Linked DNA regions of Daphnia pulex. The protein of the gene in region 1 purifies or fractionates together with the protein of each later gene. This does not show direct contact. Links are inferred from orthologs where the notes say so. Each region holds a gene or a part of one and is shown on either strand. Other genes may lie near its edges.

Evidence for each region. The genes of interacting proteins can lie anywhere in the genome.
Region 2: the proteins of vacuolar protein sorting-associated protein 33A-like (region 1) and vacuolar protein sorting-associated protein 41 homolog purify together in Homo sapiens (affinity purification with mass spectrometry; 5 studies listed by BioGRID and IntAct, counting the BioPlex papers as one, with this or other methods). This does not show direct contact. The link is inferred for Daphnia pulex from reciprocal best matches to the Homo sapiens genes VPS33A and VPS41.

Annotation. Positions count from the first base shown.
Region 1 is NC_060022.1:3,591,280-3,595,313, forward strand, and holds the start of vacuolar protein sorting-associated protein 33A-like, read right to left. Parts: upstream 2,817-4,034; 5' UTR 2,495-2,816; coding exon 2,435-2,494; intron 2,380-2,434; coding exon 2,341-2,379; intron 2,282-2,340; coding exon 2,088-2,281; intron 2,027-2,087; coding exon 1,939-2,026; intron 1,876-1,938; coding exon 1,771-1,875; intron 1,704-1,770; coding exon 1,409-1,703; intron 1,337-1,408; coding exon 1,210-1,336; intron 1,148-1,209; coding exon 987-1,147; intron 900-986; coding exon 745-899; intron 679-744; coding exon 294-678; intron 234-293; coding exon 111-233; intron 35-110; coding exon 1-34. Other genes in the region: retinol dehydrogenase 13-like, read right to left, coding at 3,023-3,127, 3,302-3,391, 3,497-3,615.
Region 2 is NC_060028.1:9,539,086-9,543,380, reverse strand, and holds the start of vacuolar protein sorting-associated protein 41 homolog, read left to right. Parts: upstream 1-1,493; 5' UTR 1,494-1,625; intron 1,626-1,706; 5' UTR 1,707-1,712; coding exon 1,713-1,907; intron 1,908-1,988; coding exon 1,989-2,147; intron 2,148-2,202; coding exon 2,203-2,525; intron 2,526-2,587; coding exon 2,588-2,742; intron 2,743-2,811; coding exon 2,812-3,030; intron 3,031-3,093; coding exon 3,094-3,199; intron 3,200-3,261; coding exon 3,262-3,413; intron 3,414-3,472; coding exon 3,473-3,627; intron 3,628-3,691; coding exon 3,692-3,870; intron 3,871-3,934; coding exon 3,935-4,124; intron 4,125-4,185; coding exon 4,186-4,295. Other genes in the region: peroxidasin-like, read left to right, coding at 103-200, 290-488, 564-669, 742-805. UniProt on the Homo sapiens protein: Plays a role in vesicle-mediated protein trafficking to lysosomal compartments including the endocytic membrane transport and autophagic pathways. Acts as a component of the HOPS endosomal tethering complex.

The DNA of each region.
Region 1 (4,034 bases):
ATATTTGTCGTGGCAATCAGATAATCTGTAGGTGCTAAAAAATTTTAAGGAAAAAAAAAGTTATTGTTTAAGTTGTTATTTGCAAAATATGTTGAACGCTAATTACTTACCATCATCCCTTTTAGATAGAAATCTAAGAGCAGAAATCTCTGCGTAGGTACATCCACCGAGGAAGAATACTAATGTGACCTTGGTTTCTTCAATCGAACTATGGACACTATTTCTAGAATTTCCTAAAATACAGTCGAAGTGTGATTATAAGGTCTCATAAAAACTAAGAAACGGAAACAAACTTCTTAAATCAATGGAAATTGGTTGAGTTTCTTGAACCAAATGTCCTGGAATCAAATTAAGCACATCGGAAATCTGCTTCCATCCGGGCTTAGCTGCCCATTGAATCAATCGTACACTTAGTGGCGCGTAAATAGAATGTACATAGGAGATGTCAGTAGGTGTGATTTCATTGACGTCATCTACCGTAAGATTCAGCGCTCTCCGTATAACAGTAAAAGGACGATTACTTTGCTGCAATCGAAGGAGACCACAAGCTTCAAGATTGTGAAGCGTAATCATGTGCTGGAATCCGTAAGCGTGAATAATTTCTCTTTTGTAGTGTTCTAAGACGCGCGGCTTCAGGCCACTATTGGCAGCAGATTGCAGACAAATCAAGCGAAGAATCTGTGATAATTATAAATGTAAAATAAAGGGAAATGGCAAAATGTATCCAACTGCCACTTCAGTTACCTTAGTCAATGGTTCCTGCTTACAAATGAAATCTTCAATGTATGGACAAACTTTGTCAGTATCAATTCCATTCAAAAGGTCTTGCTCCACTTGAAGGGCCTCTTGGAATGCTTCTGAAATAGTTATTTCTTTAATCAATTCAGCGACAGATGTATCTGTAAAAAAATTATGCGTAATACAGCTTAAATAATGCGTAATACAGCTTAAATAATGGCCAGGAAAAAATACGACAAAGTATTTACGTAGTGCTAAAGACTGTTTGGTGGCTTGCATCTGCGGTAGTTTTGCTACAAACTGCTTCAACTCGCTGACAGTTTTTGCTTCGTGTCGTTCTTCATACTGAGCTGAAATAGCTTTAGCTTTGCGACTGAGTGCAGTACCCACGGCTGAAAAGTTCTTGTCCCTGTGCAAAATAAATAACTTTAAAACTGTCGGAAGCAAAATTTGTCTGATTCAAAATTTCACCTCAAATCAGCGTAAAGCTCTTCGGCCGAGTTTAGAACAACAGATTTAACAGAGCTATCATCAGAGCGAGGTGACTGGCCCGCAGGTGAAGAGGCTTGAAACTTTTCTCCTGGAAGCTTGACTGTATCTAAATAACAATGAAACCACAAAATGCAAGTAAAATAATTGTTTTACACAGAAGCTAACAATACTTTCTTACTATGTTTTATTCCATAGAATTCGTCGATAAGACCCTCATAGGTCAACTGAGTGACAACAGGAGTTATCAAATCTACAGTCCTATCAATGATCATGAGAGTGTCGAACAACGGAGACATGGGGGGATCACAGTCTACCCCAATATCACGTCGCATTCGAGTCATCAATTCGAATACGTTACGGGCATGGCGTCCCTTACCCACAACGTTGGGGAAAATGCCATATAAACTTTGGAGGGACATTAACCCATGAGCAATTTGGTGTAAGGAGCTGATTTCATTATCAACATATAGATCCTGGGAAGAAATTTGAAGAAATCAATGACAAGCAATCCCTTTCAAAGTTTGGCTCATAAATAAATACCTTGAAAACATTATCGAGTTCCATTGAAATGACATCACTATCCAGTGGGAAAAAATCAACAGGCAGTTCATCAATAGAAGTAAGAGTTCCATACACTCCTTTGTCCTAAATGAAGTAATAATTTTGTCAACAATTTCTTCTTCGCTGATTTAAGTAACTTTAACCAACCTTGAGCCGTTGCTCACATACTGCACTTCGTCGGGAGACAAAAATTAACTGATATTCCTTACTAGCAGAATGTCCTTGGCTTTCTTCGCTGAAATGTAAATTAACTAATTGTTGTCTATTTAAAGTTAAAATATGTAGATTATTCATACCTGTGCAAGTTATCTGCAATACAATCCATCAGCTCAACTTCAGGTCTTGTGATGAACAGTATATTTTTAACAGATATGGAAGGCAAACGCCCAGGTTTTAACTGGAACATTTTTACAACATCTAGTTCCTTAAGAAAACTGTATTCTGCCACCAAACCAATGGGGCCAGTGAGTTGTTCATCCCAAAATATCGCCTAGCATAATTGATGAATTTACGTAAATTTCTTAAATGGAATAGCACACACCAAAATACCTTTGTTCCACTGAACTTCTCTAAAAGAGAAACAATATCCTGTAAAAATAACAAAACTGTTGACAAAATTTATTTTTACTGTATAAAATTGTACCTTTCTTGCCAACTCTCTCAGCATACTAAAGTTGACTTTGCCAGCTGATAAATGAGCCATGGCTGCTTTGTTAATAAAATTTGACTTATAAATTGGTAAACAGATTCGATCTGTTAGATTTAATTCTTTAAGATACGTCTAAGTACGTCGCTATTAACTGTCCAGATTCTAGATTTCTTAAGCGAAGGGTTTCCGAGCTTTTGTTTCTTTGTTTCTGATGAGGAAATATTTCGATTATTTCGTAAATGATTGGTATTGATAGTTGCTTTAAAGTATATAGTCAACTAGTAAATAGACCCAAGCTGAGAAACAGTGACCACTGACAAGTATCAGCACAACTGACAGCTTACAGTTGTAAACACTGAACAGCTGAGATAGGAACCATACAGTGTTGCCATTTTCCGAAACGGCTATCCTGGACAGTTGGCAAAAGCGGCAAAAGCAAAACACGGATTATGGAAACACATATTACACTTTCCTCTCATTAGTCATTTCGCTTATCATAAAGTACATTAAATAAATTCATAATCATTGAACTCCTATTTTATTGGACGTCCACAAAAACAATCACCTTGTTTTAATGGTGTTTTAAAAATGGCGCTCTTCTGGCTTCAACTTGACAAAAGTTTCACTGACCTCCCACAGCTTCTTGGCTAATTCGAGGTCTTTTGCCAACTTGGACGTTTTAGCAATCTGTGATTTTAAAAAAATTGTATTTTTAATTCGAAAAATATTTAAAACTTGCATTGCAAATATTATTTCCGGTACATCTTTATCAACTTTTAGATTATCGTTGTATGCATCAGCTTTGATTTGCAGGCATCTATATTATTAATAAATGTTTTTTGTTTTAAGTTAATATTTTACCTTACAATCGCTGAAATATTCTCCTGTAACGTTGGCGACTTCGTCAGCCACAGCCAAGTGAATACTTGTCTGCGCACCTTCTTTGGCCGACTGAAATATAGAAGGTAGACAGTTATAACGTTCAACGGATATGTAAATCAATCTCAGTAATGAATGAGGAAACAAAATTGAATTCTCAGTTTTCTCGTCTTAAACCTTTGAGAAAATAGAAGACACATGTGATGCAATTTTCACTAAAGTCTCATAAGGAAGGAAACGACCAAATTCAGTTTGAACGACACCCGGATGAAGAGCATTGACAGTAATGTTTTTACCTATAAGAAAAAATAATAAGTTAATATACATTTAATTTCTAGTGTATGTATGCTTGATGAAAATGAAGTATTCACAACTAATTAAACAGTGGAATGAGATTTTTTAAAATGCAGCAGAAAAAGAAAAAAAAATAAAAAACCTTAAAGAAAAGTGGAATGCAGACCGCGGCTACCATCTGGAACCCTAATTAAATTACTCGAGTAATATTTGGCTGAATCAGAATACAACAACATATAAAAAATGATGTTACATGTTGGAGCGTTGCGAAAGATTTCAGTTTTGACAGCACCAGGATGCAAACAGTTGACGGTTACACCTTATCGTATGCAACAATTGAATTTAAAATTGAGGTGATTAAAAATATCAAAATTAGCTTGAACTATCAAACAACAAGGTTGCTTCATTGTTGATCATTTAA
Region 2 (4,295 bases), on another chromosome or scaffold:
TAATTCAAATTTTAATAGTTTCTCTTTAACTGCACAAGTTTTCGTTTAGTTGAGGAAAGTATTAAGCAATGAATTAAAATATTTATTGATATGCAATTATAGGTCTGCCGAATTACATTAAAGCCCGACAAATTGCCTTGAATTTGAAAACACCACTCCCAACGACATTTGATGCTCTAAATTCAACCACTTCACCAGAAGTATGCACTTTTAAAACTCGCCAATTAAAACTTTGTTTAATAGACATTTTTATGGTGCAAAACCTAAACACTTTCACCATCACTTTTAGATTGTAACATATTTCAAGAAAATTTATGGCTCGGTGAACGACATTGATTTATACATCGGTGGAGTAACAGAGACAAAAGCACCAGGATCTCTGGTGGGACCAACATTTACTTATATTATAGCTAAGCAATTTGAGAACCTGAGGCAATCTGATCGTTTCTTCTATACCGATGTAACGCAATCGGTTTCTTTCACTGCAAGTAAGAACAAAACCAATTTTGGTAATCTTTAGTGGCCTACTCAATTACTATGTGAAAAAAAAATGTTACTAATAGATCAACTGGTCGAAATCAAGAAAGTGAGTCTTGCCCGCATCATCTGTGACAACAGTGATGGAACTATTGCGCAAATTCAACCGCAGGCCTTCCGTACACCAACTGTGTAATGATTAATTTGTCACAAGTCTACTTGAAAAAATGAACTAATTTGATTTCTAAAACAATCATTTTATAGCACAAATATGCCAACTTCATGCAGTAGCATTCCAAAAATGGACTTTGTGAAATATACCAAATAAGCATCTGTATGGGTATCAAGAAAATGCATGGTTTTCACAGGCAGTTTTAAGAAAAATTGTGTTGTAAAATGGTGAAGGGAGGGGGGACTAAGGGAAAACCAATAGAAGACTACATTGTCTGTATACTTTGATAAATCTAATTTTCCTTTGAATAGTACATGTTCTCTATACTACGACAGAAAATATAGCTATTTCCCCCTTATCCTTGATACAGATATTTTTTCCCTTTTGAATAAATCTGGTCAAAGATACGTAATTAATTGAAAACTTGACTTACCGGTGATGATTAAGATGGTACTGGATACTGGGTTCTTGCTCATGGAGACCACCATTCAATGTTAATCATCCTGAATAGTATGAAAGAACAAAGAGATTAATGTTTTGTAGTTATTCAACTTTGAGAAATTGCAAAGAATATAGAAATGAACTACTCACTACATTGAAGGCACATTATTCTCAGCTTTTCACTGTCTCAGTATGTGGATGTGGGCCAAGAAAAGATGAAATTTTACAGTAGCTAAAGCATGGTATAGAAATCCTATACCATGGTACAAGAAAACATTATTAAAGTTGTCTTTCTAAAAAATAACTGCAGAGAAAGTCTATTGCACGTCAAATCAAAAAACGTACTAATCATGCTCTGTGCTCCTACGTTGCCATTTTATGATTTTAACTAACAAAAACCAGCAAAAACAATAACAAAAAGATCAAGAGTCGTCTGCATTTGACACCCCTTCAGTGACGATAAAATGTTGCAGAGTTAAAAGGCGCAGTAAACGATTTCTAGTTATTTTGTTACACAGAAAAAATTATATTATTTGTAAGTAGTTTCTCAGTTAGTTTTTCATTTTTACTTAGATTATATGTTGCCTTACAAAATGTTTCCCTTAACTGATGTTAGGAAATCATGGAAGAAACTGTTAGCAAGCTTGAACAGCATGATTTTGTGGAGCAGGCTGCAGAGATGTCACACAGTTTTGTTGCTGATGATGATGATGAAGAAGAAGAAGTTGAACCTAAGCTAAAGTATGAGCGATTGTCCAATGATATAACAGTTATCCTGAAGAAAGATGCAGCCAGCTGTATCGCTGTACATCCTAAGGTAAATATGATTAAATTGACAGTGCTTGTTTGTTAAAAATGTCTATGTATTTTGTAGTATATTTTTATCATTTCCCTTTAGTTTATGTGTCTAGGAACCAATTGGGGAGCATTGCATTTACTTGATCATCTTGGGCATTCATCACAGCAACAAGAGTTTCCCACTCATGGAATGGCAATAAATATGGTTGATATTGATAGTGGAGGAGACTATATTGGTAGCTGTTCAAATGATGGAAAGGTAGACTGAAGCATTTAGTTTTCACTTTCAGGTATAAAAATCTTTAATTTTCTAGGTTATGGTGTCTGGGCTTTACTCTACAGAAAATTGCCATACACTAATGGTTGATCGACCTGTCAAAGCTATTGCTCTTGATCCGCTGTACTACAAGTCTGGTTCTGGAAGAAGATTCGTAACTGGCGATGATAGGCTTATCTTACATGAAAAAGTGTTTCTTTCTCGCCTTAAATCGACCACCTTATTTGAAGGGGAAGGTGAAATCACTAACATTAAGTGGAAAAATAGGTTTCTTGCTTGGGCGAGCACAACGGGAGTAAGAGTCTTTGACATGTCTGTTCGCCGCATAATCAGCGTTGTCAAGAAAGATATCAGCCCTGGGTATGCATACATTTTTAAATATTATTAGAAACTGTTTACTAAATCCCACATAAAAAATACAGAATCAACCCAGAAAGTTATCGGTGTATCCTGTATTGGAAGGATGATTTGACACTGGTCGTTGCTTGGGCAGATGACATCAAGGTCTGTGTCATCCGAAGGCGTCCGGATGCTGACGCAGAGCGACTAAATCTTCCGACACATTACGTTGAAATTGGTACGTTTACCCTGAAAAAATAGTATTCCCTTTTTCTTAACGTTATAGATGCAATTTTATCTTTTCCAGTTTCGATGTTTATTATTGACTCATTCGTGGCTGGCGCTGGATGGCTGGGCAATCATTTAGCCCTTTTAGTAGTTCCAAAAGACGAGGAACTATCTGGCAAGGGTCAAAGACCTCAAATGAAGTTGGTGGAACCACACCAGGAAAGTTACAATGAAATCTCAGCAGATGTTTTATCAATTCGTGGCTTTCAGGAATACTCTTGCAACGAATATCATTTGGGTAATAAAGCAAATCAACCTGGTATATGATTGGAATTGACCACTACTTTTGGCCAATTTACAGAATGTCTGGCTGAAGAGGGTCAATTTTTCATCGTTAGTCCAAAAGATGTTGTTTTAGCTAAACCGCGCAATCCTGACGATCACGTCCAGTGGCTTATGGAACATCAGTAAGCGCAACTTTCAAAGTTTTTTTTTTCTCACAAAAAGAACTATCTTATTTCTAAAATAGAAAATACGAAGAAGCCATGGAAGCAGTTACGGGGCCACAAGCACGTGAACTGAAATGCCATTCTGTTCTTCAGGTCGGTAGGACGTACCTCGATTTCCTTTTGTCGAAGGGAGAGTTCCAGATGGCTGCCAAGCTCTGTGTTAAAATTCTGGGTTCGTACAGTAATTTGTACTCACTTTAGCCGTTCTTATAAATTGTTCGTCTCAAACAGGCAAAGAGAAAAATCTTTGGGAAGAGGAAGTTTTCAAGTTTGCTCGATTGCACCAACTACGGGCTGTTACCCCTTATCTTCCAAGAGGTGAATGTAGATTGGATCCACATATTTACGAAATGGTTCTCTTCGAGTTTCTCAAAACTGATTCAGCTGTAAGAACACATAATACTATGAGTAAAAAAATCAAGAAATGATTAAACGTTATTCTATTTCCAGGGCTTTCTTCGGCTAGTAAGAGAATGGAGTCCTACGCTCTATAACATTGCAGCTGTAATGAACGCTGTGCTCGAGCACATTCTTCGCCATGATCCAGATGATACCACTCTTCTAGAAGCCTTGGCTATTTTGTATTCTCACGAGAAGAAATACGATCGAGCCCTGGCAATGTACCTCAAGTACGTCAAACAAGGTTATTATTCTGTTATCGCGATACGGATTTCAAAATAGTTTTTGTTTCAGACTTCAGCATGCTGATGTGTTTCGGTTGATTGCTCAACATCAGCTCTTCACCACCGTCCACGATAAAATCCTCGCACTAATGGAACTGGACGTCAACCAAGCTTGTACGTTATTCCTAGAACACAGCGAACACATTCCTTCCGATTTAGTGGTGTCACGTCTACAAACTAAACCACAATTGTTATTCAAGGTTAGTCGTTCAAAACTTATCGTGTGAGTTTTTAATTAATTCAAGTTCGCTACAATTGTAGTATCTGGACGCGTTGTATCTCAAAGAACCAAAGGAAGGAAGCCGAAAATTCCACGGCCTTTTAGTTTCCCTCTACGCCGAATATGCGCAAGAAAAATTACTTTCCTTCCT